Linked DNA regions of Drosophila melanogaster. Changing the gene in region 1 together with any one later gene gives a genetic interaction. Each region holds a gene or a part of one and is shown on either strand. Other genes may lie near its edges. The genes, in order: Dfd, rpr, cnc and hh.

Region 1 (8,417 bases):
ATTTTGAACCACATTTAATTGTTTCGGGTCTCTGGGAAGGAGGGAAGGTGACTGCAAAACTTTCGATTGGTATTGTAAATATGACTTTAATGACTATAAAAGTCAAAACTGGCTTTAATTCTGAGAGACACACACTCTAGAGGCGTTCAGTAAGCTAGTCAGTCAATCATTAATCACTCAATCAATCATTTGGCAAACGATTCCTGGCAGCCTTCATTGTCCTCTTGTTTTCGCTGGAAGAACCTCCAGCTTTTCACTCCGTCTCGAGCTAATCAACATCCCTGAATCCCCGGACCCATTCCTTATCCCCAGAGTTCCCCTGGTTAGGCTGAATCTACGTCGACTTGTCAACATGTCGTTAACACAATTTCCATACCAGATTGATTGGAATGCCAGAATCTGGCTGTCTATGTGGAGTCAATGGGTGGGTCATGGGCAGCAAAAAGTAGGGAAAAAGCTATCGCCTTTTCGAAAAAGTAAGCTTAAAATAATTTTAAAATTACAAGTTTTTTTTTTTTAAATTAAGTGTACTTAGTAGATTCAGTTTGGTTAAAACAAAAGAAAACTTTAATCGAGTGTCTCGACAAAAAGGTTTTGGTTACTTAGATAAAGTAAAGGAATGGAGATAATACCAATTTTTTGGTATAAAGCTTGATATAAGCTCAATTTGCGATTTAAAGAAAATATCCTTTTAAAATTAAATATTGTTTCGTCAAAAATCGATTCGAAAAATCGAATCTACAATTATTTTAAAACAACTATAGCTGCGTTAGAGTCACTATCATTTATTTTTTGTCATATATTTTATAATATCACAAAATGTAACGGACAAGAAAACTGACTTTACAAAATCGACCTCAACTAGCTTTAGTTTAGCTTTAAAAAAGGGGGCCCTAAAAATCAAACAAATTACATTGAATTTATACCAACATAAATAAGACATAATTAAGATCTTAAGATAATTAGGATATATATTATACAATATAAGGACTGACTTTGGTTTTAGTGATGTTTCACATTACAGACTGCTTCAGACTATTTCCTATATAAAATAATCAAATTACAACACTCTGCAGTGGTATCAAACACGCTGGGCGTCTTGGCGTTGCCAAAGTTTAAAAACAAACTTGGGCAGCATGTTTTTTTTATGTGTTGCTAAAATTTCCATGTTCCTTCATTGGGTTAAAGCTTTAACATACAAAAATTACAAAATAACTTCAAAAAGTTTTAAGAATTGAAAGTTATTCCTAATTTTTCTAAATATACAAATTGTTTTAAGGTCTCTTGTGCCATTCCAATGATTAGCATTTACATAATTGCAAATATTAGTGAACTTATCAGTTGTTGTGGATACCACCCATTTTGCATAACATTATTCGATCGCCGTAGAGTGCTTTTTAATTTTATATCACAAAGTTTTGATGGCTGGCTTAAAGAAGCGAGCTGAAAACAAAGAAAGTCCATACTCAAAGCATGGTGGCTCTCTATATGTATTCGCATTGGTGGTCGTAATGTGCCTCAGTGGATGTGGATGCGACATCATTAATCACGTTTCAGTGTGTTGCCTCGTGCAGCAAGTGAACTTCCTTCTGCCGCCGCCTGACAGTCGCAACTGATTGCTGGATCTGAATTGGGATTTGGACTCAAATGCCCCGGACAAAGAGCAAGCAATAGCAACAAACACCCACTGTCCCCCAACCGAGCCATCCTCGTTGTACCACAACCCATCCTCCCTGCTGGCTCAGGGAGCCCTCATCCCTGCGCAAGCTGGGACTTTCCCAAACCTCCCACATCGTGCTTCCATCCACCTAAGGAGCTACGTCAGAACTGAGAAAATTCGATGTAGCAGCCGCTAATGCAACTGAGTTTTAAAGGTCCTCAAGCAGCAGCCATTCAGGAGTGTAATATGCTAAGCATGGAATCTAAATTTGGTACTATCTTTAAAAATTTTAAATACATAAGAAATTAAATAACAGTTTTCTGATTTTAAATTTTCGAGAAATATAATAATGTAATTTAAAAGCAATTATATTTTTGGATTTGGACCAAAGTTATTTGTAAACAAATATGCGTAATGAATCACACAGTAAAATTAGTAAACATGGAACTTCCATTAATTAACACTAGCTGGTCAATTAATTCGAACACTTTAACGTGGAATGAAGACCTAAACCAACATTTACTCCTATGAGTCTGGCCGACGGACCACAGACTAAATTTAAGTTTTATAAACTTAACTAGCCTAATGACGTTTTGATGGTGACCATCAAAATCGAATCAGTTGGAAGTCGATTAATTAGTGGCCATGCCCCTATACCGCTCACATATGGAACTGGTGAAGGAGGTGGCACAGCACGTGGACCTGATTGTAAGGGGGTTAAGATATTTTTGGTGGGTTTACCGGAGGTCCAATTATTCGGCAATTAGCCAGAGTCACTTTCAGAAACACACTCCAGAAGTGTGACACGAATTTATGCTCAATTTAACTTTTATTTGAAGTGAGTTAGGGCAGCTGGCTCTATAGGGTCAGCAGATTTCAAACTTATTAAAATATATATCACAAAAATTTAAAATCTGTTGAATTCATTAAGCGAAATAATCAAAAGTTTGTATGATATTACCTATAAATAAATTGTTAATATTCCGCATTGCTCGAAGTACGAATTTAAAAGTACAAGCCATATTTTCTTTTACCCACATTATGGATTGTTATGAATCAGTCTAAATATTTACTAAAAACAATATTAAAGCATTAAATATCCAACCTTCTCGATGTGCATTATACAACAATCATTCTATTGATTTTCCACGTTTCGCTTGCTCCATTTGAATATGTGCCCGTCATCGCCATAACAACAACATCGGAGGAAAAATCACGGTAGTAATGACAACAATAATAACAGCCTTAGCCCCAGCCAGACCACAACAATAATCACAGAGGAGAACAAAGTGATATTCGTTGGTTGTTCAATTGAAATTGTTGCAAGTCAGCTCGGACTCTCCAACTCGGTAGCTGAATTCAGACGAAGAAATCGGCATCCAATAGTACCGTCCCCTCTTTACGATCAATACTGTTGTTACCCACGCGTTCTCTGCATCGTTCCTACAGAATCCATTTATGAAAGTGGAAAATAAATGGTGTGCTCCATATCCACACTTACGTCTTGTCCGGGATCGATGAAAGCCTTCTGAAAATGGGCGGAGTTTCTTGGGTCCAGACAACTTTTTCGTCGAGTTCAATTTTCGAGCGTGCGCCATGACTTTGAAGGTACCAGCACACTCACAGCAAAAGTACAACCAAAATAGTAAGTCTGAGGGAAGAACAGTCGAGGGTAGGTAAGTAGGTGTGCTAATGAGCTAAACAGTGCTGTTTGAGATATAAATATAACATTGAATCAATTCAGAAATCCTATTTCTCTATGTAGACAATTGCGTTTTTAATTTTCTATTCGATTTACTGTCATTTCAATTTATTAATCCTTGGAAAGTAAAATAAGCTTATTTCGTAAAAAAATAAATAAGACGTTACTAAAATATAAAAAAAATATATACACTGTACAGTAAAAGTAAAATTATATTTTAAAGTTTTAATTAATGGCTTTTTATTTTTTTTTTTTAAGAATACTTCTTTGAACTAGTTCAATATTGTATGCCTTGACTGTTCACGCAACTCAAAATGGGTGTGACCAAAGATCTGGCCATCCCGCTTTAACCACAATGCTCCCTCTCAGTCGCGCTTGCGAGAGAACTATGGTCAGTGGTGGAAAATGGCGTACGAGGCGAAGGGTGAGAAAAGGTGAACAGACATGGCTGCTACATATGAATGGCTTTATTTGTGCGCGTGTGTGGGCCGTCCTTCGATTGCTTCGGCAGTGAAAACCCGTTTTGATGGCAATGGCGGTGAGAGAGAGCGAGCGAGAGCACAAGCAAACAAGAGCGAAGAGTGGCGAAACAGGTTCGCTCGCACGGAGAGTTATCGCCAGCGAGCATAACAAAAAATCGGCTCGAATGGGACGGTTCGTGTTCGCAGCGCACTCGTAAGACCGAAACGTCCGACTTTTCTCCCTGTGTGGGATTGAAATTCGTTGTAAAAACGTTTTTTATAACCGGAAAATAACACCATAATCAAGTTTCTCAGAATTCCAAGGCCCCACGGCTTTTAAAAGTGACAAAAAAGTGCAAACAAAGTATAATCAAAACAATAAAAGTGAAAATTATGAAGACAACGGGAGCCTTCTAACCCCTTTGTTTAGTTAAAAATATTAAAAAGAATACGAAATTTATTTTAACCAACACAATCTTAAAAGTAATTACTACTTGCAAAAGCAGCGCCTTTAATCAATAGTTAATGTACTAAAAGCAAAAGGTTCGGAGTATGTGCAATCCAAGTGATAGTGCCCAAGAAAAAATCGAATAACAAAGTAATAACCAGGAAAACGCATCCGGTGAACCCCGATCCAACAGACCTTCCGTCATGAGCTCTTTTCTCATGGGTTATCCGCATGCACCACATCATGTCCAGAGTCCCATGTCCATGGGCAATGGCTTGGACCCAAAGTTTCCGCCGTTGGCCGATGACTATCATCACTACAATGGACACTATTCGATGACCGCATCTACGGGTCATATGAGTGGTGCCGTCGGCGGTGGTGCAGGTGTTGGGTCTGTCGGAGGTGGTGGAGCAGGTGGGATGACTGGTCATCCGCATTCCATGCACCCGGCGGACATGGTCAGTGACTATATGGCGCATCACCACAATCCGCACAGCCACTCCCATTCGCACACCCACTCACTACCGCACCACCATAGCAACAGTGCAATATCTGGACACCACCAGGCATCCGCCGGCGGTTACAGTTCCAATTATGCCAATGCCACTCCGCCCTCACATCCGCACTCGCATCCACACGCCCATCCGCACCAGAGCCTCGGCTATTACGTCCACCACGCCCCCGAATTCATATCCGCAGGAGCGGTGCACTCCGATCCCACGAACGGATACGGACCGGCGGCAAACGTTCCAAATACGAGCAATGGCGGTGGTGGCGGAGGAAGTGGCGCAGTGCTCGGAGGTGGCGCAGTGGGTGGATCGGCAAATGGATATTACGGCGGGTACGGTGGGGGTTATGGGACGGCGAACGGAAGTGTGGGCAGCACCCACTCCCAAGGACACTCGCCGCACTCCCAGATGATGGATCTGCCCCTTCAGTGCAGCTCCACGGAACCACCGACGAACACGGCGCTGGGACTGCAGGAATTAGGTGAGTCCATACTAATAGAATTTCTGTTGTCTCTTGGAATCCGTTGAGATTTGATAGGAGGATATACTTAGTACTATTTCAATAATCTGAAGATTATCAATCGATCCTTATATTAAATATATATTTATATTTATATTTATATAATTATTTTTTTTATTTATATATCAATTCCATAGCAAAGTCATTTTACATTCGTATATCCAAACCTTTTAAAATGTCTAGGGAGCAGATTGAGAAAAACACTTAAAATAAGCCCACAAGATTGTTATGCCGCATAGTAATATTAAAAAAGATCTAATATTTTGTACATATATAAGCCCTTCAATTCGATTTTAGCTACTCTAATTACACTGTACCAAACTAAAGTGACTTCCATTCCATGCAGGCCTAAAACTAGAAAAACGCATAGAAGAAGCTGTACCTGCCGGACAACAACTGCAAGAGCTAGGGATGCGATTGCGGTGTGATGATATGGGATCCGAAAACGTAAGTACTTGCAGCAGATGTGCCAAGAGAGAATGCGTAATCGAGGCCTTGATTGACTTGTTTAGGACGATATGTCAGAGGAGGATCGGCTCATGCTGGATCGATCTCCAGACGAGCTGGGCTCCAACGACAACGACGACGACCTCGGGGACTCAGACAGCGATGAGGATCTGATGGCGGAGACGACCGATGGCGAACGGATCATCTACCCCTGGATGAAGAAGATCCATGTGGCGGGAGTTGGTAAGTTGAAAGTTTCTCTTTATCTCCTGCTCTCCCCTTCGCGCCCATGTCGTGTCCCATTTTTCGGGGTATGCTAATTAAATTACTTAGCTGCCAACACCCACTTGATTCACTGACAGGCCCCTGTAATGTTCGTTCCTGGGCGAAACCCAAAATGAAAATAAACAATCTAAAAGCCAAAGACACCAGCCAACCGAGTAACTTAAAAAAGAAAACTGCGACTCCAAGCTCATTAATCAAAATCAAGAGTGCCACGCCTTGCGTCGAGGGGCGAACCGTGTTCACCAAACGACAAGTTCCTGTACATACTACTCCTATATAATATAATATAATGCACATAACGTTAAGTGAGTCCCACTCGCTGCAATCAGCACTTTAAGAGGCTCCTGGTTATTAGGCCTCTTCAGAGGTTCTTTCAGCACTTGAACTGACATAAAATCAACTTGGACTGCTGAATGGTACGGTGCCAATTGATACATCATAAAAAGTCATCCTGGGAATGTAGTATAGAGCTGCATATATATGTAGTTTTTTTTTTTAGGCAATTGAAACATTTTTGTCTAGGAAGAAACAATCGTTAAATTAAACCTCGAAGATATTTTAACGAACACTCATTCTCATTTCAATGTTCTTCTGAAAAATTGTATGTATCCATTCATATGCTTAGCCCCCAGAAAATAATTTCCAGGCTCTCTGAATTATACACAGTAATTTTCTAAGGCCTACAATGAAAGCTTTTTCGACTCATTCTTGGCACAAAAACTGAATGCAACTTGGACATGGAGAACAGGTTTCTTGCCTGGTTTCATTCACCAGATCCAGAGACCGACTGAATGGGCTCAGTTGAGTTGACCTGGCAGAAATAATTACTAATTAATTGTCACCCCCCAAACGGGGAATTCATTCAGCCATGTTTCGAGTGTGTTACCAACAACATCTGACGGCCAACTGTAGATTGTCGTCGCTTATTGTTTTAATAAAACCAAAATAGGGATGCCACGGGGCGGCAAGTAGGTGACGAATGCGTTTCCCAGAGGATCGGATGGAGGTCTGAAGCTACTGATAGATTGCTTTTTAATTAGCACAGCACAGTACACAGGGATACTCCAGTTCGACCATAACCTTGACCCAAATGGGTAATTATAACGTTTCGCTTAACGCCACTCCGACTCGCTCATTGTCAAATGCCTCATCGGTTCATCGGGTTCCCAGTACCCACTCCCGATTTACTTGACTGTGGAAATTTGTCGTTTCACTGAAAAAAATATAGTACATAATTCAAAGTTGGCTTCAAACTAAAGGGTTTTTAAATAATTTCTAATTTTTAATAATCCAATTAAACATGTTAACATGATGAAATTTGGCTTTACAGTAGGAACCGAGGGTCATATAAAAGCAATGGCTTAACTATATTATTAATATATACCATTACACATTTATTGTGTTCGTACCGGTTTCTAAGATGCTATTTCTAATATTGGGACATTTAAAATAAAACAACAAAGCCCGCATTTGATTTTCTTTATTGTGGAAAGTTTTTCTTAGTGTCAGCATCAAAAATCAAACCCAAAAACGAAATATCGAAGTTGTGCGGCGCGCAGGGAGACAGGGAAACGATCGCTCGGGGGCATATTTGACACAGTCGCAAGGTACACCATACCAACTTATCTTCGGGCTCATGCTCGGATTCCGATTCCAAGCCCCCGCCCCTCCATCGGTAGGGTATAACTCCGACTGAGTGACGGATGGTCCGTGTCATTTGATGTTAATGTTGTGACATTTATCATGAGCGCACGACCACGAGAACAAGACGGGGCTTGATTATCGCCAGTGCATCATCTTATCCAGCGTCTTGGCATCCGTCTCCTTCTCCGTCTCGTTGTGCCCCAAAACGCAGACCCGTGACCCCGGGTTCCCGCCGGTGTCATGTTATTCCCTTTACAAATGACTTACACTCGCTTAGCACTTGCCCGAAACTAAGGCCCAAACTATGAATGCCGCTGATGTGGCGTGTGGTCTCTTGCCGAATTTAATTTGCTTTGGCCCTGCGGCGGCCTAAAACTTGTTTCAAACTTGTGCCTCCGTCGAATGAGAGAAGCAGAGCTAGGTGTGAATCGCATTTGGAGAGCAATTTGTGGATTATTTAATAGGTGTCATTAAAAGTGTTGAAAGGTTGTGAAAAATTAATGGAATCGGGCTGCAGTCAGGTTGCAGTTGAAACTCTTAAGTTTGATGTGATGAACGAAAATAAACAGAGCGCTTATATTAATAATCGAATCTATTTGATTAGATAATTTATATCGCCTTAAGTAAGTGTATTACATTGGACAAATCCAAATACAATTACAAATTTATGCAACAACTGGAAAGTAAACATATATTGGTAAAGTCCACGAACTGTTTTATGGTTTCTTAGACTGCGCTGGT
Region 2 (6,771 bases), on another chromosome or scaffold:
GGATATTGAAAGAATTAACCACAAAGATTGCCAAAGAGTATAGTCTTGGGTTTCCTAGTCACGAGAAATGAAAAGTAAAGGAAGCCCCAACAATATTTGAAAACGCAGAAAGATTCCAAATGTTTACTTGAAATAAAGCGAATATGAACAAAATGGCAATGATCCGCCGTCTTTCAACAAGGCATCCCAACTTCGGACTGTTAAATTTTCGATTTGGTTTGGGAATTTGCCAGTGGACCCTTTTTTTTGGGTCTTCATTAATTTCTGCACGAGTATCCGCAGAATCGGACTATTTGTGTTCCTTCCTACCTTTTACCTGTTCTATTCAAACAAAAAGTATGGAACGAAAAATTGGCTAACATGCCAGACAATTATGTGGAAGGTAAGCAGAGCGATGGAACCACAAACGGATAAAGATCAGTCAAGGCTAAGACCCCAAACATAAAAAAAGGGCTGCACCTCTTGACCGAAAATAGTTCTTGGAAATTTATGGATAAAGTTTTGTTTTGATTCGAGTTCACTTAACTCTAAGCGGGCTCCATTGTATTTTTTGCATCTTTTTGGCATTATTAGAAACACTTTTCGAACTAATTAACAGCAGAGACAGAAATAAAAGTTTGGAAGAATTTGCTGCTAGGGATTAAATGCTTTTCGTCTGTGATTTTTACAGCACTTCGCTTACAAATCGCTCGACGTTTGGCGCAGCTTCAAACATAATCATAAACTTGTGTTAATTATTTTTCATATGCCACTCCGGCTGGCGTGGGCAAAAGTTTTATCTGTTTAACGTTAATTAGTTTTGTTTGGCAAAGTGAAATTTCTGATTTCTTTTTGCGCGAGCTTTGCCAACTTTTATTAACTTTTTTCGGGCAATCAAAGTGAATTGAACTGCAGGATGTGCAAGGATATGGCAGCTGCATAAGTGCAAAAGTTTAATTAAAAGTCCTGGCCGCGTTCGCGGAACACAGAGTCATATCCTTCGAGCTGATGACGAGACCCTCAAGAATTGCACATCGAATTTTTCCCTGCCATTTGGCGCTTGCCAAAATTAACTTAAAAATGCAAATTGTTTTGTTAGCACCTAATTTTTTGAAATTATAGAGGGGAAAAGATGTCAAGACTGCCGTAGGGGCAACTCCCCCGCCTGCTCTCTCTTGTTACAAAGTTTCTGCATCGAAAAATCTTGGCAAATATTTTTGTATTTCCTTTTTGCATAATTGAATTTTCTTTGTGTGTTTTCTTGCTGCCGTTTGTGTTGAACAATGTTGTCGGAGTGGCTGAAAAGTTTTTCTCAGAGTGGAAAAGTTGGACTAAAAGACTCATTCTCCCTTAACTTTGCACATTCCAAGAAATTGGGAATTCATTTTTTTATATTAAAAATAAAATATCTAATGGTAGAAGTGGTATTATTATATAGAATTATAATATTCATACATATCCTAATTCAATTGATGTGATTGATCTTAACAATATTCCAGTTTTTGGAGTTGATCTAGCCATGTCTAAATATACATATCGATAAGATATCGAAAACTAAAGAACAATGAAGTTTAAATAAATCTATTGTCTGGAAAGTGACTAATAAAAACGTGGTTTAACTTTCTACAACAAATAGTTTATATCAAAACTAAAAATAATGTGGTTAAGATTCTATTATATGTAATACCGATTTATAATTATATTCGTTCTACAATAATTCAAGAAATTAGCTTGCATTAATATTATTATAACTAAATTATTATTATTATTATAATTATTATTATTATTATTATTTCCGGCAATATCAATCTTAATATTTTATTAAGATATATTTCAAAGCGGACTCTGTCACCGAACGCCGGAAATCAAATGAAAAACTTTTTCAAAACAAAAAAAAATCTTTAACGTTTCCTAACCAAACACATGTAAAATAATTTTCACAACCACCGATAATTTCACTGATTATTAAACAGCCTTCTAGAAAGTTCCTTTTACCGTCGGCGAAATGAAATAAAAAATGTGCTTGTTCCAAACTCAGTTTTTCGAGACATCATCTTAGGCTTTCTTCGCTTTTTGTATCTAAATCTTATAAATGGTAATCTGAAAATATTTAAGTAAATGAAAAACCAACAATTTTTTTAGTTTTTGTTTTTGTTTTATTGACTTTTTGTTTGACAAAAAATTGATGCAATTTTTAGCCAACTTCGACTCATCTTCGTTTTTTTCTGGGGTTTCTTCTTAAAAAAAACTTAGAAAAACTCGTCTTACAAAAGAACTTACAAACTATTACAGTAGTAATTCATTTAAATAGGCTTTAAGAGTAAATTATTTCTAAAAAAGTTGATTTATATCATTGAAACATTTTTGTAAAAAATTGGGGACTTTATAAAAACGTTATTTTTTCAAATTTTTCCTCCGCTTTTTTGTAGAAACAAAACCATTATCACAATCGCTTTGATGAGTAAACTAAAATTGGGTGGGTGTTGTGGCTCTGTGTCCTTGACTGCAGTAGAAATCGAGTGCCGTCGGCTGATGAGTGGTGACTGTGTTTGGGTTTTGGGTTGGCTCATGCTTATTTCCTTTGTACTCTGGATTTTGGACTGGACTATTGGTTTTCCCCGTATTTGTTAGTTACTCGAATCCTCATTGCGATGGCTTGCGATATTTGCCGGACTTTCTTCCGGTCTTCGGATGACATGAAGTGTACTGGCGCAGGGTTTCCAGGACGACGGTGGCCAGGAATCTCCACTGTGACTCCCGCAAGCGAAGGATCTGCTGCTCCTTCTGCTCCGCCTCCCGCAACAGAGTCGCCTGATCGGGTATGTAGAATGCCACTGCCATTGTTGGTTTATCTTTCTTCTCGTTCGGAATTACACAACTGGTAGTGACTCAATAACTTTCTCTTCTGCACAATGAATATTTATCGAGTTAGTTCTTTGTTGCTGGCGCACACACTTTTCTTTCGTATTTTCGAGTTCGTTCACTTTGTTCTGGTGTCTCTCTTATTCAATGATTTTTTCGAGATGCGTTCGCTGCGATGGTTGCTTTTCAACTGAATATATTGAGTAGTGCTCCGAGGCTATTTATACCTGGTTCTCTCACGCCGCCTTGTTCTCTGTTTTTCTGGTGGTGGCTGCTCATTTTGGCCTTCTTCGCTCTTCGGCTCTCTGGCTGGGGTTTTTTTGTTTTGGTATTTCTGTTGACATCGTCTCATTCGCAGCTCCCAAAAAAGTACTACTTTTCATCGTGAGCGGGGGCGGGGCCACCTTGCGCCTGTTGCCAAGCGTGTTTTTGTATGAGGTTGTGTTGTTGTTGCCAGGTTGGTGGCAGCGCCTTTGTTGTAACTGTGTGCGGCGAGAAGTACAGTTAGCATATTAATTGTATTAAATCGTCGGGGCATGACAATCGTTTCTCATCAAGGAGTTCGACAGAGAAAGACATACAAGAGTTGCTTCACGACTAAAGTTTGGAATACCCTCTAAGATTAACATTATTTACACTAGCTACCCATTAGTGATTAGCAACTAAACTAAGCCGGATACCTGATAACAGCCAAGTACAACCATCTAGCCGGTTTCATATTAATCCTTCGAATTTCATTTCTTAAATATTAAAAATATTTATTTTCATCTATGTCAATCAGCAAAAAGTCCTTTTAGCTATTACCGCCAGTATATTTTCTATAATATGATTAAATTCTTGAATTGTAATTAATAAGAAAATTCCAACTAAAAATGATGGAAAAATAAAACCAATATTTTTTAGGTTGGACACATTGATGCTATTAATAGTACAACATTTAAAGTACAAACTATTTACATAATTAAGCAGAATAGCTTCTTGTAAGGGTATTATAACAAGTGGGAGGCGGATTCACTTGAAATATGGGCAAGTGGGCAAGGAAGAGTTCCGTTCCATTTCTTGAATTATTTTCTCTCTTTTCCATGGACCAGCCCACCTGCCATATCTAGATAGATCCCTCTTTATCAGTATCTCGCGCTCTACAAGTGTTTACACAATCATCCGAAGCTTCCGACTAAGAATTATGACAATGTCATAAATTAAAGGCCATATACAGTATATTGACAACAATGGGCTCGTCCCATTATATTTCGTGTGCAATTTTATTCATTTTCATTAGAGCGGAACCAGACGGATATGATATGATACGATATGAATGTTTTCGTTGGAAATCATACACGAAAATTTCCCTGCGGCTTAAAGTATTATTAATTGCCTTCCTGATGGATATGATATCCGAACAATGTATTCTTCCAACATATAGGAAGCTTATTGAAATTATCTTTAATAATATATATTCTGCATTATTATATATAGGTCGTTTACATTTTAAATCTCAACTGAAACTTTCTCTTTAATGACGTAAATACATATTTCATCATTTTTCATCGTATCTAAGTCGGATTACCCATAAACATACTATTGTTTTGTTCTTAATTTCGTTATGATGTTTAAATAAATTTCATATATATATGTAATAGAAAATTAGCTCTTGAAACTCCACCTGCATAATTCTAAAATCTTTTACCCCACCCAAAGAACCGCGATGAGTTTTAAGTTCCATTCAAACTCCACCCACAAAGCCGTAGTACCGTAATACCGTACCCACACACAGGCAAACAGCCGAATCTTACGACGTGCGTCTCAAGTGTTTCCACTGTGATAGAGAATAGCCATCACTTTGGGGGATGTTCTGCGTCATCGTCTATAGCGACCACCTCTCCACAGCTCTGATGTCTAGGTCTATTGTTGAAGGAACTACTCTACTTTCCTCGGCCGGGCGTGCTCGTTCTCTTTCTTTCACACTGCCGTCCTAGTCGCACAGCAGAACCATTCGACTCTATAGTTATTTTTTCATGAGTCTTTTCTTTCCGGGTTCGCGTCAACACACACATACAACATATATAAATCCGGGACAGTTGGGCGTGGCTTACGTTCTAACAGCGTTTTCTGCTCCAGCGGGCAAAAAGAGGAAGCCGAAAAATGGGCATTCCCTCTCTTTCGCACGTTTTGGGGGACGACCAATGTGGTTCAAGTTGGAAATTTATGTTTTGGGTCTGCTTTCGTTTTCTGGGGCGGAGTTTAGGTTGGGACCTTTTTTATGTAGCTGAATCATTGCCAAGAAGGGTGGAGCCAGAAAGGGCCTTAAGTTAACCGAAACATGGCTAACGTTATCCCTTAAATGTATGTCCTTCGCGGTAACCTGCGGTAATTTGCGCATCAGTCATAATTGAGGCTGTCGAATGTCAATTAGTTCGATGATTATCCTCTCAAGGCCTTTATCACAGACTTCATTCAGTTTTTCTTTCCTTAAGATTCTGATCTAAATCTCTAATTGCCCAATGAGGCGATATTTTCAAAGTAACAGATAGTTATCTACGATTTTGGGTACTTGTATTTTCTTAAGGGATAATGCGGGTAATTATTGTCATTTTTATTCAAATAATGCATGCCTCCGGTTGGGGTGCAACAGGCAAAGTCGAATCTCGACTTGTTTAATAACCCATATATCATTTGCATAGATAACTGCCTGACTTTCAATTTAACTTGTGTCTTGTGGCCTATTGAGTTTGTCAAATTGGATTATGTTTCTTCGATTGAGTTTTCAATCTACATGTTAAATGACCCACATGATACGATATTCATTCCTGGGAAGTGTGTCAATCGAATTTTCGATCTACCCGGAAGTTTGCCGATCCTGTTTCTGATTGGGATTCCAGAAATTCACTTTACATTTCATGAGGCATCCAACGTGATATTCCCAAATGAAAGCAAATTTTTAGCGATAATTTCATCAGTTTTTTTTTCTTACTCCTCTCCGCAGCTTGTGACGTGTCTCTGTCTTTGTCTGGGACTGCCTCAAATCGGTATGTCTTACATATCACACATTGTACGTACATATACAAAACATTCGTAACATTCACGAATGCTAATGAGTAATATCAACAATGCGATAACTTGCGCAATTCCCCTAATTTTTGCTTTTATTTTATTGTACCGTTTTATAGGGTATCTACAATCATTCTTGGCAAATAAAAGAAAAGAATTAAATACTAGATTGGCAATCATCTCTTTGTACCTTTATGATCAAACTGCTGTGTCATGCACAATACTCATCGTATAATCCGTACTTCAACCAAATCTACAGGTTGTTCATTATTAAATTGTTAGCTATTAGTTCCAACCGTATAATAACAATTTAGTGCAGTAGTTTCAGCTTTCTCTCGTTCCATTTCATTTGTAATTCTACTATTGGATCATTTATGTTATATTCAGTGGATAAATTGATAGCTTTTACATTACAATTTATTTTAGACCTATATTTTAAATTTTCCTATATATTCCCTGCATTACCCATTATTTAAATATTAAACGAAAACCGTTGGAGTAAAGTTGCAGGATTGGAACCTCCTTCCTCTATCCTTATATGCAGTAATAAAATAATTGGGCCGAAATCATCACTCATTCTTAAAGTTTCCTCTCAGTCAGGTTGCTCCCCCCGCCCCCAGCCAATGCTTAATAATATTCCAAGAATTGCGCAACGTTCTCGAACAGAATATTGTCATCTCTTTGTTGCTCCCGCACTGTTTTCAATCTCGAAAACTCTCAATTTCTCACACTTTGGTGTTTGGGTATCTTTTTCGGCTGCGGCTTCGTTTCGTTAATTTGTGTTAATTTTTTATGATCCCAACTGGTGGTCTGGTTTCTGGTCTCCCTTTCGATCTTGTCAGAAATGTATATTTCGTTTTATTTGATTTCCCATTTAGAAAG
Region 3 (8,525 bases), about 16 Mb from region 1:
CTACGAGTTTTAATTAAGCCCAGAGTTGATTCGAATTATAAACTACGTCAAGGCATCAAGCGACTGCCTCAGACAACTGCGAAAACAACAAACAGAGGGTATTTATTAAAATCAACACGGGCAAATCAACTTACACACGTGAAATCGGCAATACTCTTGCTTTGTGTGACAAAAGTACTCGAAGACAAAGAAAACTTTTCTCTTCAGAGATTGTAAAATCTTACTAGAAAAAATCATAATAAGCGTAACTTATTCTCTATTATATCTATTTTAAACTTGCTTAAACATATGCCACAAATGAAATTTTGGTGAAATTTTAATTACAATAAACAATACTGCCTTGATAGAACAAATCGATTAGAATTTCTTGATTAATTTTCATGTTTTCTATTCCAAAATAAAGTAGCTTTTCTTCTTTTGACAAAATGTTTCGAAAAGCGCTTCTTTTCCATTCCAAGAGTATAGCCACAGATAAAAAAACCTAAAGAAACTGGTTTTGTTTTTATTTATCTCGACTCGAACAGATTTGCAATGTTGACTTGGATTCGGGGAAAAAACCGTTCGATATTAACTAAGTTTGTATTGTGATTTCACTGTTTATAAATATGAATACCTGGACCAGAATGATTTGCATAATGAAATATGCTTAAGGTACTGCCCATATTATTTATCTTTGCGCAGGTGCACAGTACGAAATCTGATTACATGGATTGAAAATTTAGCAAAATCTTTAATGCGATGAATTCTCATAAGATCAAGTTTCCATTAATTGGCTTATAAGCGATAACAATCTCACTTGACAACCCATTTAAGCCAACACATTTTAAGTTGATTGATATTTGATTTTTTATAAACTCAATGACGTCTTCCTCAAAACATATATTTAAGCTCCGATTAAAGCATTTCGATGCCCAAAACTAGCAGTTCTAAAACGCACTTTGTATCTTACAACTTTCATTTCCAGTTTTATTTTAGCCAGACTGTTTTTGTTACCAACCACTGCTTTTGACCATTCTCTTTCCCCCACTTCTTTCAGTATCTTTCAGTATCTCATCTTCAAAAAAGTTAGTGCTCTGAGCCGTCGAATTGTATTCGACTTCAATTGTTTTTTACTTGCCATTGTAATTGTTGATTTTTTTCGCACATTTGGTTGAGTCATAGCAACAAACCGAAGATCACAGCTTTTTCGAATTGTTTACTTTGAGCATTATTCAAAGCGTCGTAATGGGATTCCCAGAACTCCTTAAATTGAGCCATAATACCCTTAAGCTGCGTATTGTTTAAACAATAATAAATACGATTTGATGGTTTGCCAACTTCTAGGTGGCCCAATAAAAAACGTATTTGTTTTGAATAGATAATAGATAGATAATATGCTCATATAGAGAAGCAGACCGTTAAAGGTCAAAATGATAGCTGTTATGAAAAAGAGCAAATAAATTATAATATTGATTAGTCTACACAATTAAGTACATTTCTTATAAATAGAAATGTCATTTAAAATTGCTAACACCATAGATTTTAATAGTTAAAGAAGAAAAGATTAACAAATAAGTACGAATCTTTTGACCAATTTCTATAAAGAACCTGTCGATTAAATTTATAGCAGGGACTCATGGCTGATTCCCAAAATTTAGAAGTGCGACCAATTTAATTTATTTTATGATTCATTTATTGTCCCAATCTAATCGAAAAATTCCCCCTGTGGAACATTGGCTGATGTAATTTGCATTCTTCCAAGGCAGGGCCCACTGTATTGTGTACAATGGAGAAATCCCTCTATGGTTACTGATACCTAATACTTTGTTCCCAAATCAATTGATAGATAATGAATGCCGTTTCCACGCGGTTATCTTTCTGGATTCTCGTGGGAGTTGATATTGTTGTTGGGCATCCACTGTACTTATCTACATTTGAATTTGTGTGAATGTGTGTAATTTTCTCAATAAATGGCAAATAAAACAAACCATTAGGTTGGCTATATCTCATTTTTGAATTCCACCCGTCGAAGTTCGCTTATCAGTTTTTATAGCTCATTTACAGTGAAAGTTCGATAAAGTTACTAGCAGGGAATTCGAAGAAATTAAAAATAAAATCACACGAGTATGGCTACTAAAATATATATGAATTTATTATATCTTTGATCTGTCACATTGATCAAAATGAGTAAAAACACATTTTCTTATACGCCGAAAACAAACTGTTTATATTTAATGTCGGAACAGAATTATTAAGTTCAAAACCACCATCCTAAAAAAAAGCCTAGTCAACCTAGTGACCCATCCTTATCTGTGTGTTCGCTTTCATTCCAGTTGACATATTGACTCATCACCATTTGTGCCAGCTGATAAGCAATAATGATCGACTTAGAGGATCTGCCTCGGCTGCAATCCTTGTCCCCGGCGAAGGACATCGAATATACCTACCACCAGACCCAATTGCAGCTGAATCCGAAGAAGAAGGTCACCGTCCGGGTGCCCATTGGACCACCCTCGAAGTTGAGTAAGCTGATTAAGCCCACGGTGGCTTCCACGCCCGCTGTACTGGCCAAGCCAACGCCATCCATCACCCAATCGACGACGCCAGGTAACGCCAAGACCAACATTTGGAAAGGTGGCTTCCATTTTACCAATCTGGTAAGTATTGAAAGGCTTCGGTGTTAATTACTTTATCCAAATGCCAGCACAAATGTTCCCAGTTCAGAACGCAATATATCTATAAATTACCCCCATCAATCTAAATTAATTTTTATGAGCAGGTCTTTTAGATAGATTGATAGTCTTCTAGCTATATTTTGAATTACACGTTCTGAATAGTGTGGCTATCTGTTTTATTGAGCAAGTCTAATACAAATGTATCCATTTGTGATATCAATAGCTAACGGAAGTTATTGTTAAGATATTTGTATTTTTGCATGCATGTAGAATATCAATATCAATATCATGAAAAAAAATTATTTTAAATTAATATTAAGGAAATATAAAACTATATATATCCCTTTATTTTTAATTTTAATACAAATTTCAACTTTGTTATGTAGAACTAGTTAAAAAAATGACTAATGCAAATTAACTGAAAAATTTGCATGGACACGTGTCAAAAGCTTATAAGCTTACACCATATCTACATAAAATTGCAATAGCCACCATGTCTACATAAGTTACTCTTAGGGAAAATATAAATATGTTCTTTATATTCTTAAGATATTCTTTCTAAAAACTAAATCTAGAAATAAAAGGTAGGTAATAAAGATACATTTGTAACCGAAATCTACATTTCTAGCTCTCCTTTAAAAAGCTCTTTCTGTCACTGTTAGTTTAAGCTACATTTAACATTTCTGTTAAAAGCACAATGTATTATGGTGAGACCGCACTTGGCGGCCCCGAAAAAAACCGCAAAAGCACAAAACTCAACAAAATCGTCTGCAAAGAGCCTCAACTGGGCACACTTGATAAAAGCACCGCGCTGGACAGACGTTTTTTGCCTCAAATGTTTTGAGGCCGCAATCGAAAATCGCGACTGATTTCGACGGCGGAGAAATTGCCAAACGCGGCGTAACAAACAAAACACGTTTTCAAGCTCACCACGTAGGTACGGCGGTTGGCGAAAGAGAGTAGCAAAGCGGACGCGACAATAATTTGCCAAATAACAGTGAAAGAAGACGCGTAAAGGTGCGAAGTACACGCCGCTTAAATTGTGTGTGTGTGTGTGTGCGTGTCTGGCTGCGTGTGCTTGTGTGCCGGAACAACAAATGAAAAAGTTTCGGTTGTGCGTTTAAGAACTACAGTTGCGAAATGTTGCATGCCCCACTAAATAAGTGCAACTCATTGTGTGGTGGTGGTACTGTCGGTGGGGGTGGTGGGTTAAAGGCAATCAAAACAACAACGACCAACAGGCTAGCAACAACAGTTATTCAGCAATCGCCCCCTCTCGCTCTCGCGCTCAGTCTCCCTCTCTCGCTCCCTCTCCACCGCTCAGCTGACAGAATGCAATCGAGAAAAACATCGAGTTAGAAAGAATAGGGAACGAAAAGGAACTAGCAATTTGATAAATAATTTGTTGATGCAAAGTGCAGAGTGAATGTTGAAATGCTGCCGTTGCCGGTTATTCTCTGCTCATTCTCGAAGCTTCCATATTTCATTTTTCCTATTTGTTTTGCTCTCCGCGATTCTCAGCAAAAAATTAAATCGTTTTGCATTTAATTAATTGCATTAATTGTGGGCACAGACCGAATTGGAATTGGCAAGAAAAAACAGCAGTTGTATGCTTCAACGTGTGCGTGTCTTTTTTTTTGGTGTGTGAGTCAGAGAGAGACGAGAATCGGGCGATAAAAGAAAACAAAGAAATACAAAGCAATGTGGAGGCAAAACACATGCAAATATTAGGCAGTGTAAAAACAACAAACGAAGCGAAAATATTATTGTTTTAACCCTTGATGGACTTGACAATTTTTTGTACCTTAACGTAGTTAAATAATTTTACAGCTGTCTTGAAAATCTTAACATACAAATGACTTCAAATTCTAATTTGACGTAGGTCCAATATAGGGTTAACAAATAAGTGACGATTTCACCACGTAAAACGGCACCACCACCACACACACTCTCACACAAAAGTGCGTACCAGACGGCGAGAAAGAAGCACCAGGTGGCACATAATCAAATATCAATTGTTATTAATATTTAATGGCACTTGAATGCAAATTGTCTGCAGAAGAGAAAGTTCAAGGACGCAGACAAGCGAAATATATATTTAAAGTTGTTAAATAAATAAAACGCGTGTTTTCCAGCAATTAAAAGTAAAAATCGTAGAAAGTGAAACATAAACAAATAAGGTCTTGCAGAGCAAAAGAAAAGTGAACGGTAAACAATAAACCATTGTGTGTGCTGCAGGGAAGAAGAAGCAGCGAAGAGGAAAAGAAGATCAAGCAACGGCAACAACAACAAGGAGAACATTTACTGCGCCGCAGCTTTTTTACCGTTGTAGTCGGGTCTCATCATCCAAAAAAAATTTGAGGTGAGTGCACTGCAATACAGCCACAATCACACGCACACCCACACAAGAACCCTCTCTTGCACGCACATGCACACGTCATTTCCCTACCCCTCTCTTTCTCTCTCTCGCGCACATCTTTTCATTGAGAATTGAGCCAAATAAAGTTTGGATTTTTGTTAAAATGGCTTTAAACAAAGAAAGTTTATATCGAACCTTGAAAGAATTTTGCACACAATTTTTTCGTCCGTCCTTGAATCGGGTGCTTCACTTCGCATTGCGCACATTTCAAATGCTCGCGAGAGACCTTGAACAAGTTCAAGTTCAAAGCCATTTCGTCTGGGTCTGGGTCATTCCTTCCGCCTCACGCCCCCCTTTTTCGGGTGGGCGGTTGTCTGTTAACCTTGTTTAAGGGGGGGGGGGGTGTGTGTGTGGCTGGACAGGATGGGCATATTAAATGCGTTGTGGATATCAAACAGAATTCGGACAAAACAACAACCAAAGAAGGATACATGCATATATGTATTTATGTATTATACACACATATTTCGGAAAATTCGATTCTTGACCTGCTTAATTGTCTCTGAATATGAAATTAACTATGCTGAAATGCGCTAGGTCATCATCATAACAGCCTTTCTAGGCTATCCACTTTGGTTTGGTATGAAAACAAACTATGTGTTGTGTTTCTGTAGCAAAACCTTGTTAGTGTTTCTGCACATTTATAATTTCAAGTTTAAATAATAGAGATAAGGGATGTTTCCTTACGACAATCTTTCATTTATTTTAATATCTCTCGAAAGTATTACTTATGTACCTTAACTACATAATTGCGAACAGAAAAACATAATTGTGTTCGTTTTTGCTAAATAAATATGAATCCTAATATAATCGCGATGTGGAAATTAGATGTGTTTTTAATAAAAGACGTTACCGACCCGGAAGTTGAACTTTCTTTGGTGCACTTCCTCGTGCTTAGCAATTTATAAAATCGACTGGCAAACAAAACAAAGGCTGCACCACTCGAAACAAAAGCATTTTCATTTAACATTCAAACTGCATATATGGCCATGCGGCAATGTATGAATATTACACTACATATCTACATACTTGCATATGTACATATAGTTAGCAAATCGTTATGCTTACTAATTCCATTCTATTTGTTGTCACATCTTGATTTGCTTACAGAACAAAACCGAGGACAGCCATCAATTAAAAGCAAAGAGCATTGGAAAATCGGGGAGATAGGCCGTGGAAACTGCGAATTTTCAGCTTTTTGCGCAGATTTCGGAACGCCGAAGGAGGAGGAGGAGGAGGAGGCCGGAAGGCGGGGCAAGGCGACGTCATTGAACGCATAGATCCCGGACGACGCAGCCGTAGAGCTGTTGTCCGGGACGGAGAACAACAAGAACAACAGCAGCGGAGGAGGAGGAGGAGGAGGAGGAGGCGGCGGGCGGAGGTGGACTACGGACTACAAGAGTCACCCACGCACCCATTCGCTCACGTATCGAAACCTCTGAAAGCAACAAAATGATCTCAAACAAAAAATCGTACGCTATGAAAATGCTGCAGCTGGCTTTGGCCTTGAGTCTGCTGCATTATAATCCCGATTACCTGCTCCATCGCTGGGACTCGCAGCTGGAATTGGGCACCCATGGCGATGGATGGGAGCTGGAGATGCTGCGGACGGTACACCGCCTGGATATGGATCACAACCCGTATGGAAATCGTAAAGGACTGAGTCCCCGCATTGAGGATCTCCTAAACTTCGACGATCCTTCCTTGGGGGGAATGGCCAATGGCATAGGGGGCTGCAAGCTTCCGCCAAGATTCAACGGCAGCACTTTTGTAATGAATCTCCACAACACCACCGGGAATAGCAGTGTCCAGACGGCAGCTCTGCAGGATGTGCAGAGCACTAGTGCTGCCGCCACTGGCGGTACAATGGTGGTTGGTACTGGTGGTGCACCCACCTCGGGTGGTCAAACCAGTGGTTCTGCACTGGGTGAAATCCACATTGATACCGCCTCGCTGGACCCTGGAAATGCCAACCATTCGCCGCTGCATCCAACATCAGAATTGGACACTTTCCTCACGCCACATGCGCTGCAGGATCAGCGTTCCATTTGGGAACAGAATCTAGCGGATCTCTATGACTACAATGATTTGAGTCTGCAAACCAGTCCCTATGCAAATCTGCCTCTTAAGGATGGCCAGCCTCAGCCATCAAACAGTTCGCATCTGGATCTCAGCTTGGCGGCGCTTCTACATGGTTTCACCGGCGGCAGTGGAGCACCCCTCAGCACCGCCGCCCTCAATGATAGCACTCCACATCCCAGGAATCTGGGTAGTGTCACAAATAACTCGGCTGGAAGGAGCGATGATGGCGAGGAGAGTCTCTATTTGGGTCGACTGTTCGGAGAGGACGAGGATGAAGATTACGAGGGCGAGCTGATCGGTGGAGTGGCCAACGCCTGCGAGGTGGAGGGTCTGACCACCGATGAGCCCTTTGGCAGTAACTGCTTCGCCAACGAGGTGGAAATCGGAGATGACGAGGAGGTAACGCCAATACACTTGAAAAAAAAATGAATCAAAGTTTATTTTATACGCAGAGTGTCCAAATCAAAGGTGTGCTCTAGATGTAAGCTTTACATCTTGTTAACAGATTCAATTGACTGACGTTTTCTTCGAGTGTAGTAGTAAATGACTTTGATTTGACTGATTAGAAGTCACTCAAATGGCACCACCAGCAGACCTGTGCTTCGGTGTGTGCTTGTGCCCATTATCAAGCAGTGTTGTTATAAAAAAGAAAAAAGCATTTTGCATTGCTAATGAAGATTTGCGAACCCATCGCTTGACCCATTCCACAACCATAGTTCTCCCCTTGGCTGCCTCTCCATTTCTGACCGTTCAGCTTTCATTATAATTATAGTTTGTTAGTTTCCCCGCCGTCAATCGATATATTCAAATGTGGCTTTCTGTTTGGATTGGTCACCTTGCATGCGAGATACTTTTTCACCTTATCAACAGATAAGGGTTTCAACTTTGTTTACACATCAGCATGACTATTGTGTCACGGTTATCCACTCATACGCTGTCGATCTGTAAGATTGTAATTGTTATCTGTGGAGGGTTTCTAAAAGGGTTGATTCATCTAATTGGGAGATTAATAGAAATCAACAAAAGTTGATTTTTAGTTTAGTTTAGTTTGATTTATTTCTGATATGTTGCCGAAATCCCAAGTCGTAGCATTTTAAAGTTCTGATAACATGCGTTAATCTTTAATAAGTATTTTTCATAATACAATAATTATCTTTTGTTTGGCTAACATTTTTTTTAAACCGTGCGCAACAACTTTCACCATCTTTCGTGCCCAAAGTTTACATATTATATGCAAACACACAAAACAAGCGGCAATTAGGTCGTTAAACGCTTCGACTGCGCAAAAAACATTTTAACTGCGAAAAAATAAAACAAAGATGATAAATTCGAGTAATGTGTAAAGGGATTTTTGTCCCGAAATTGAATAT
Region 4 (8,694 bases), about 16 Mb from region 1:
CCCAATCCCAATCCCTGGTAGCCGTAAATGTCAACATCCATTAGAGACCTCAAACCGTTAGTGGCATTTGTCGCACGCTATGAGGCAGGCCGAAAGCAACCGCCGCAGTCACAACACAAGAGTCCCACAACTCGCAGCATGATTGAGTGCCTGATTCTCGGAATCAAATCGAAATCAGCATTGACTTGATATGAGAACCGTCGCTGTTTCGATCGTTTTTAGTTTGCTGCCTGCATTAGTATACGAACCATTTTAGCTGCCATTAAAATTTGGCTATAAACTATATTAATATTCTCGTAAATATTAGTTGGTATCAGTTATTAAATTACCGCGACCTTCACAGCAGATAACCGAGCAAACCGGTGCGACGGGGCCAAAGCACGCGTTATGGCCATTATTATTTGTTAATTATGTGGCCGCTCATGGTTCTCTCTAATGCCAGAGCCGCGCGACTTGTGCAGCCAAAACAAAAGACTTTGGCAACAAACTTGCCAGCAGCCGCAGCTAGCCCAGTGATCATAAAGCACCTCTAAAATTCAATGAACCCCAAGCGAGAGCGGCATAGTTGGGGAGTCACAATCGAAATTGGCTTTTAGATACTCTATATAACAAAAGTTTACTTTGCTTTTCAGTAACGAAACCACTAACCGTTTACTTGTTATTTCATTGGGTCACCTGCGCTTCCTTTGAAATTAACATAAAATACTTGCAGCCAAGCTGGTCGTTTTATATTTTAAATTAAAAAGTTACAATATGGCATTTACCCCTTTCATTCACCCCAAATCACATTACATAAGCCACATACCCACACCACGGGGAAGCGCATTAAAAAAGAAACAAAAATTCAAGTTTCATATCGAAGTTTTATGATCGAAACACCAACGAAAAGTAAGAGAACAAAAAGAGCAAATCAGCCGCAACCCATGGCGTTGGTGGGAATGGTGGGATCCAAGCCGAAAATCAGCCCCAGACCAGCAGGAAGGGATCAACGAGGACGGCGGAGGTAGATGTGGAGATGGAGATGGAGGTGATCCGGGCGAGGCAGCAGCAGCCATGTTAACAACTTCCATTAAAAGAAATTAAAAGCAGACGGAGACGCCGTTGGATGCGGACGCGCCATGGCGCACAGAAAATGGCGTTCCATCTGCTCTTTGGCATCTTGCCCATGGATTCCATGCCGAGTTGAATCAAAGGAGCTGCTTGCTGGGCTCTCGAGCATTCTAGTTGGCCAGCGAATGGTCTGAATATTTCCGGTATGTCTATTTGGAGGATCTAGCACACGGCAAAAATATTAATCTTAACTTGGTAGATGAGTAATTCAAGTGTCACATCTTTTCGTTGATCATATAGTTTCTCAACATCAAATTTCGAAGAATGGTAATTGTATTCATTTTTTTTTTTAATGTTTTGACATTAAGAACTGCTTTTTTACATTTTTCACCGTGCAGCATTACAGGTTGCCATTAAAATTCAATTTCGACTTATAGCTGTTGTCCCATTAATATTCACATAAATCAAAGCTGGACCAAATCTAATTACAGAAACTAATCTGCGGCTTTTTATCTCGAAGGGCCTGGAAAGGCATTTTTTGTTAGTTTATTTATTTAGTGTTCTTTTTTTTTTGTTTTAACTCTTTTCTGTATTTTTTGTGAGCCGTTTCGGCTAAGAGCGCGATCTATATGATCGTGATTATGAGGACCGCTGGCCGTCTCGCTTGCTCCACGGTCTGCGATGCCATTTATTCATGCTCATTAAGTGCTGGAGCGATTGTTGTTTGCCCATGGGCCCGGGATGGTCTTCGCATCTGTATCTGGCTTGTTCACGGTGTGTTGTGTGTTCATTCACAAATGAGCGCCTTAAGCAGCTCCGCCCCACAGATACAGATACAGATACAGATGCGGAGGCCCAAAGACACATTCGAAACTCACACAGATACACACAGCGACGAACGTAATGAGTTCGGTGCGCACACAAAGAAGGCAGAAATTTATGTGGCAGCCACATAGACTCTCGCACACACACTCGAATGCCCGATGGCCCAGCATCCAAGACTCGTATATTCCATACCCCCTTCCATTTCAGCTTCTTCATCTTTAATTTGGTTCCGTGTATCTTGTTGATGGCGTTTTGCCTTCTCTTATATCTTTTGCCGCCACGACCAGCTATTGTATTTCTCCTCTTTCGATTCGTTTTATTTTTTTTCTTCGATTCATTTCGTTTTTTGTCGAAATTATTATGCTATGCCTTGCATTCCAGAGCGTTACCAAAAAAAAAAAAAATGCTATGCCCCCCCATGGAATCCGTTACATGAGCAGGTGCACCTTGGCCCTTGGTTCTACCCCGTTGGAAAGTGACAATTTCTTGGGCACACATTGACGGGCGTATTCCACAATTCGCGCTTGCCAAGTGACAGTGCAAATAGACCTGGTGCAACCGCAAAAAAATAAATAAGGTCTGGAAAAAGAGCCAAAACAAAAGATTAGCGCTTGCCACAGATCCAAGTTCTGAAAGTGCGAAAAAGCTAAAAAGTTAAATTGGAGATTTCCCAGTTGTGGGGAATTTTATATTAGCCAAAGTCAACAGAGATAAAACTGGAAATTTATTGATTTCCAGAGTGCGGCATCAATCCGCAACTTAGTTATTTGCTGTGCATAAATATAAGGTACCTAATTGCAAATTGTATTTGCCAAAATCGTTATCGGTTTTTGCAATATATATAGACATATTTGCGATTATTGACATGGCGTTGAACGGAACCTCTGGCGGAGAAGGAAATTGTTAAATTGACCAGTAATTTGTAGGTCCTAAGGCGATATCTAATCGGAACATGACCACTACCTGAGGGGCATATGAATGACTCACTGGGTGACATAAGCTCGGAGCCTTCGATGATCATAAAGTACTTTAGTTTTAAGCACTTTTTCCGTTCCTTGAAGACTGGCAAACGGAAGCAGCATTGAACCCATATGTACTCCACATATCATACCATATACAATATACATATATATGTATGTATATATATAAGGCTGCCCAGGAGTCACACAATACACAAAAAACCGGAACATTATTAATTTACAAGCAATAAAGCGAAACGAACAACAAAACGAAGAAAGGCAACGGAAAAAAGTGAACAATGGCCTGCGATGGAGGAGTTGCAGGGCCAGAAGCGGCTAACAAGCCACAAGACTCGAGTCGAGTCGAGTCCGAGTAGTGCAAGTGTTAAGAGAAATTGCAGTTGCAGTCGAGGATGCTGCAGCTCTTCTGCGCCAGCAACGCACACTATCACACATCCAATTGGCAACAGGCACACACTTTCATCCATGGCCATAATGGACCGCAGCACACTATGCCAATGCCATCCAACATCTGTTGCCAACATTGCTTGTACATAAGAGCCGAAGACTCAGGCACTAACACATGCAAACCAGTCTTGTGAGTATGCTGCATCATCTGGTTGTCCCGCTTCCACTTCCCTTGCGCATAAGGCAGCATAAAAATGAACACCACAGCCGATCGAACGTCGAGTGGCATACGCATACAATCACAACGCGGAATGAACTCGAGGCGATAGTGTGTGTGTGCGTGTGTGTTTGTGTGAGCTAAAAGGCCTAGGGTTCTTGAAAGCACCCTCGTCGTACTCGTACTTATACTCGCATTCGTATTCGCTGCCGTACTCGTACTCGCACTCGAACACTCTGCGCGCACGATACTCCGCTCGGAAATGTCATTTGTCAATCACAGTGCGAGCGCAACGGTTGTCCGAACCGAGAGCTAACTGCCAGTTCAGCGGAGAACAGTTAAGACCGTAGTTAAGTCAGTTAGGACCTGCGATTTCGCCGACTCAAGTATTTCGATTTAGCCAGTTTAAATCCAAATAATACCATAAATCTGAATAACAAACGTGTCGCCAAATAAGCGTGTCTGTGTGCCAAAAGTGAAGTGCTAAATAACCAAAAAAATAAATAAAAAAAATTAAAGGAGATACAAAATCCAATCAAGAGAAACAGCAAACAACGAGTCTTAGATAAATCATGGATAACCACAGCTCAGTGCCTTGGGCCAGTGCCGCCAGTGTCACCTGTCTCTCCCTGGATGCCAAATGCCACAGTTCCAGTTCCAGTTCCAGCTCCAAATCCGCAGCGAGCTCCATCTCCGCAATCCCGCAAGAAGAAACGCAAACGATGCGCCACATTGCGCATACGCAGCGTTGCCTCAGCAGGCTGACCTCTCTGGTGGCCCTGCTGCTGATCGTCTTGCCGATGGTCTTTAGCCCGGCTCACAGCTGCGGTCCTGGCCGAGGATTGGGTCGTCATAGGGCGCGCAACCTGTATCCGCTGGTCCTCAAGCAGACAATTCCCAATCTATCCGAGTACACGAACAGCGCCTCCGGACCTCTGGAGGGTGTGATCCGTCGGGACTCGCCCAAATTCAAGGACCTCGTGCCCAACTACAACAGGGACATCCTTTTCCGCGACGAGGAAGGCACCGGAGCGGATCGCTTGATGAGCAAGGTAAGGAAAACCCTCAAACACCGTAAGCTAGTAACAAAATTTGTAATACATCATTGGGAAAGTTTCGCTTATCGGAATCATTGTGACAAAGTGACTTAAAAATTATTTGTAAAAACCGAAATATTGACTTATTAATCACGATTAATCAGAAATTACTTAACATTTAGTATTGTTAGCAACACAAATGAAGTGAAAACCCAGTCTTACGCCAAATAAATGACTAATTCTAGGAAAAAATGTGAGATAACTCTACCAAACGGAACTTGTAATGCTTTAATAGTACACTTAATATTTGGTCTAGGTATTATTTTGTGATAAAAGTAAGCCTACTTTGATATAGGAACACAATGAAATGCCTGTTAAATCTGAGGTATGGAGGTCAAACACACCATTTAGATGAGATTTTATTGCTGATATTGTTCCGAATTCGTCTTCTATATCAGACAGCTGGGTTCCGATTTGCGGCTAGGCTAATTCCGTGCTTATTGCGCACTGCACTCACATTTTGCCACCCGTCGTGGTCCGTAAATTCAATTGTCAAATTAGCGATCGCTTATCGCTCGCGCTGTTTTATAGCCCGTATCTAGCGATCGCCCGATGGCACGAGATTGTGCCACTCGGTTCCCATTGATAAACGCTACGTGGCGGAAAAGTGCCCAATCATTGATCGAGCATTGGCTATTTCACCAACTTTATGGTGGCGATGGCTGCCATAAAACTGGGCTGAAATATAGTATTAGTTTTGAGCATTGGCCATTTATATGATTAATTATGCATCTTATCGCCGCACTGCACTTGTTTCGCAAGTGCAAAAAAACAGGAAGCCCGATACTCGACGGCTGAACGGTAGATAGCGCCTGAATTCCATCGAACTAAGCCATAAAGCTGCAAAGCGTCCCGAAATCCAAACAAACCGAGCGAACGCGTTCAACAACCTCGAGCCCAATCGATCCCCGGGTCATCATTGCAAATACATAGTTTACTCAACATTGTGTGTACGCTTCGCAAATGCGTTTTCGATTTCGCGCTGAACAACAAACAGGGTATCGAATGCGGGAGATTACAAGTCCCGGTATTTATCAGGTTTTACTCAGCCAAAACCACCGCCCACCGCCCACCGCCCACCCTGTCCGCGCCCCAAAAGTGGAGGCACGCGAGCATTTGCCGCTTATCACCGGCGATTGTCTGATAAGCGGACTGCAGCCAAGTAGTTCGTTTGCCAATACACGGTTACTATCCCCCCAGATAGTCACCCTATATTTGCCAACATGTGTAGCTACATGCTGGCACTGAAAGAAATTGGGTTCGCTTGGCATAATACTATATGCTTGCCACTTTATGGTTTATGCTAAAAGAGGTATATGATGGTTTTTATGTGTGAAATAAAATGTGAAAATTAGTTTAGGTGCAAGTTATACGTTATACGTTATACGTTGCTAGTTGCGCTATATCGGTGCCAGAACAAAATGTGTGCTAAGATACCAGCTAAGGCGAAGAACAGCAGTATCTTATCGCCATAAAAAAAAAGGGGCGGGGGTAGTGAAAGTGGAGTGGGTGGCGGTGGGATGACCACCCAGTTGGTGGGGGAGCGGTGGTTGAGTTTCAAAGTGCGAAACAGCTAAAACAAGTGTTCAATTCAAGCACCATGCGACAACATTTCCAATTAGCCAGCAGTTAGTGGGGTGGTTGCGTTGCGGCCAGAAGTCGGCTTAGCACAGTCAAGACCCCCTAAGAGGGCCGACATTGAAGTTGCTGATATATATAATCGGCACGCTTCCCACCAGCTTATCTTCGTGTTACTTTAATGAAATTTTAAGTGTCGATGTGTAAAAATAGCCTTGTTATTGATTAGCGCCATAAACGAGCTATTGGGCTTTTATGGCGGACTTCCAGTTTCCTTGGACGATTTGGTGCTATTGAACAACAAACTAATAATCAGAATTGTGGGAAGACAGATTACGCCTGCCAACCGACTAATATAGTTGATTTAAAGGGTTTAGTATCGCCCACACAAGTGTTACAATGACTTTCGATTTGTTGATTTATTAGTCAGTGGTTAGTGTTTCGCAAAAACGACTTAGATCTTTAAAAATCAGATTTTACTGTACTGTAAAGTTAAATCGTATTATCGAACCAGTTGTTCGCCTGCTAGAGTTTCACTTGAAAACCAATTCCAAATTGCATTTGGCAACTGCCACGCGCCCATCGGGGGATTCTAAATGGTTGCAGCCATTTCAGATGTTACCTTGAATTTGATATGCAATCAAAAGGTATCGCAGCCTTTCCAGAAACTGGCGAACAATTAACAGTTGCTCGCACGGCAGCACAAACGCAGTGACACACCGAAGGCCAAGGTCCTTCGGGCGATTGACTAAACGGCCAAGGACACTCGGCGAGCATAAAAATCCTGTTGTTCACGGGACAAATATTTACAACGGCAACTGTTCCGCTACCGAAGTCGTATACATATATCCAGTGACATTGAAATCTTTTGCCATTCCTGCAAGGAGCTGCAAAGAGTACCGTGGAGTGCCAGCAGAGCGCAACTAAAACGCATTTTATGTGGATTTGGATCTGGCTATCAGACCGAATGACTTACTGGCCGCTGTGCGTGAATTTCAGCTGCTAAACAATTCGTTGTGGCCATTTAAAAGGCTCGAAAGTCGGACTGCTAGCTGCGTGGCCCTGACTGTGGGTGTGTTGCACTTCCCTCCGCCGGTTGCATAAACAAATTGCGAAATTTCAGCAGTCGCCATGCAATGCAGCTACTCCTAACCGAAACGAACAAATGCATCGTAAAGTACTGGAGCTTATGACAAGTCATTGGCTCAGGTAATTACCGGCGAATGTGTCTAGGGCAACACTTCTCTTCAGACCTTTTCAGCGCTGAACTGTTGTATCTGCGGTATCTGAAGTTGAATCTTGAATGCCACGGGATTAGACGAGCAGCAGAGCAGCAGAGCAGCAGAAACCGCAGCGGACAGATGGATATGGATGTGGACAAAAGAATGCGTCAAAAGCCGCAGCATAAGTTCTAAAATTTCATAAATTGTAGCAACAATGGGGCTGAGGGCAAAGCCAATGGGTAATCCGATATGATTATTGACATGCATGCAGCACTGCCAGTCCTCCAGACTCCATACGCCAGCTCCTCACTCCCTGATCTTCCAGACATGCACATCACCATCAAATCAACTCCACTCAAATCAAATCAAAGTAAGCCCTCAGCCGAGCCATTCTAATAGAGCATTATGACTCAAAATTGATCCTATTATGACATAAAAAAAAAAAAAATAACTAAAACCTAAGAGAAAGAACAGAAATCGCTGGGTGGGATGATGTCAGAGCTTCAGTTTCATTTTCCCTTTGCCAAAAAAACAAAGGAACTCAAATCAAATCACGTCAAATGCTGCGATAAGCAAACATCAGCCAATTTCGTGGGAACATTCCTGCGGCGAACAAAGTAATCAAACTTATCAAACAAACATCAGTCAGGCAAAGTGGACAAATCGTCTCTTTCAAAAAAAGAGCCCCCCCAATATGAACCCCATATATGTTGTATATGTATCGCCGATGCGGATTCGCACTGTTTATTTGTTTGTTTTGCTTTTGTGCGAGATGCTTTTATATTATTATTATTAATCAATTTGATACTTTTACGAGGGCACTCAGGCGCGAATGTTCAAGGATTTGTTGCCCCAAAATGCCATCGATATTTGCCTTTTTGGATCTCTGGCTTTTGCTTTATTTGCATAAAACTTTTATGAACTTGCGCCGGGAGAGAATATGGAAGATCGCGATCAGAGATCGCGTCGCGGCTATCACATTACTGCTGGGCGAGTGACTCACATTTCACATGGCTCCTCTCCTGCTCTGCATCCATTCCTGCAAGTCATCCAAGATCCAGGGGATCCGGGGATCGAACGGAAGACCCCAAGGCAGCCGCCACCCCCTCGCCTACCCGCTGTCCGTTGCTCCATCGGTGCCAGTGTGCGGCTCATAACTCATCATCAAAGTTAATCACACATCAGGGATTATGGCGCTTATCATTTAAGACCCGGCCCGAACTCGGCTCTTACCTGACTCTTGGCTACTCCAACTGCCAGCTTCAAGCTCCAAGATCGAGCTCCAAATGACTTTTGCTGATCGCCGGGGGGACATTAAATGTGGCAGGCAGGTGGGG

What was found.
Region 2: of Dfd (region 1) and rpr, changing one suppresses a phenotype caused by changing the other (phenotypic suppression), as found in Drosophila melanogaster (one study listed by BioGRID).
Region 3: of Dfd (region 1) and cnc, changing one enhances a phenotype caused by changing the other (phenotypic enhancement), as found in Drosophila melanogaster (2 studies listed by BioGRID).
Region 4: of Dfd (region 1) and hh, changing one enhances a phenotype caused by changing the other (phenotypic enhancement), as found in Drosophila melanogaster (one study listed by BioGRID).

Annotation. Positions count from the first base shown.
Region 1 is NT_033777.3:6,787,851-6,796,267, forward strand, and holds the start of Dfd (deformed), read left to right. Parts: upstream 1-3,985; 5' UTR 3,986-4,474; coding exon 4,475-5,261; intron 5,262-5,646; coding exon 5,647-5,747; intron 5,748-5,812; coding exon 5,813-5,990; intron 5,991-8,417. UniProt on the Drosophila melanogaster protein: Sequence-specific transcription factor which is part of a developmental regulatory system that provides cells with specific positional identities on the anterior-posterior axis. Homeotic protein controlling Drosophila head development.
Region 2 is NT_037436.4:18,395,416-18,402,186, forward strand, and holds rpr (reaper), read right to left. Parts: upstream 3,021-6,771; 5' UTR 2,821-3,020; coding exon 2,623-2,820; 3' UTR 2,120-2,622; downstream 1-2,119. UniProt on the Drosophila melanogaster protein: Activator of apoptosis, as well as grim and hid, that acts on the effector Dredd.
Region 3 is NT_033777.3:23,216,908-23,225,432, reverse strand, and holds the start of cnc (cap-n-collar), read left to right. Parts: upstream 1-3,471; 5' UTR 3,472-3,587; exon of another isoform or gene 3,588-3,671; intron 3,672-4,536; exon of another isoform or gene 4,537-4,789; 5' UTR 4,790-5,016; intron 5,017-6,183; 5' UTR 6,184-6,525; coding exon 6,526-7,554; intron 7,555-8,525. UniProt on the Drosophila melanogaster protein: Plays a role in posterior cephalic patterning. Probable subunit of a heterodimeric regulatory protein involved in the control of head morphogenesis.
Region 4 is NT_033777.3:23,136,859-23,145,552, reverse strand, and holds the start of hh (hedgehog), read left to right. Parts: upstream 1-3,646; 5' UTR 3,647-4,031; coding exon 4,032-4,511; intron 4,512-8,694.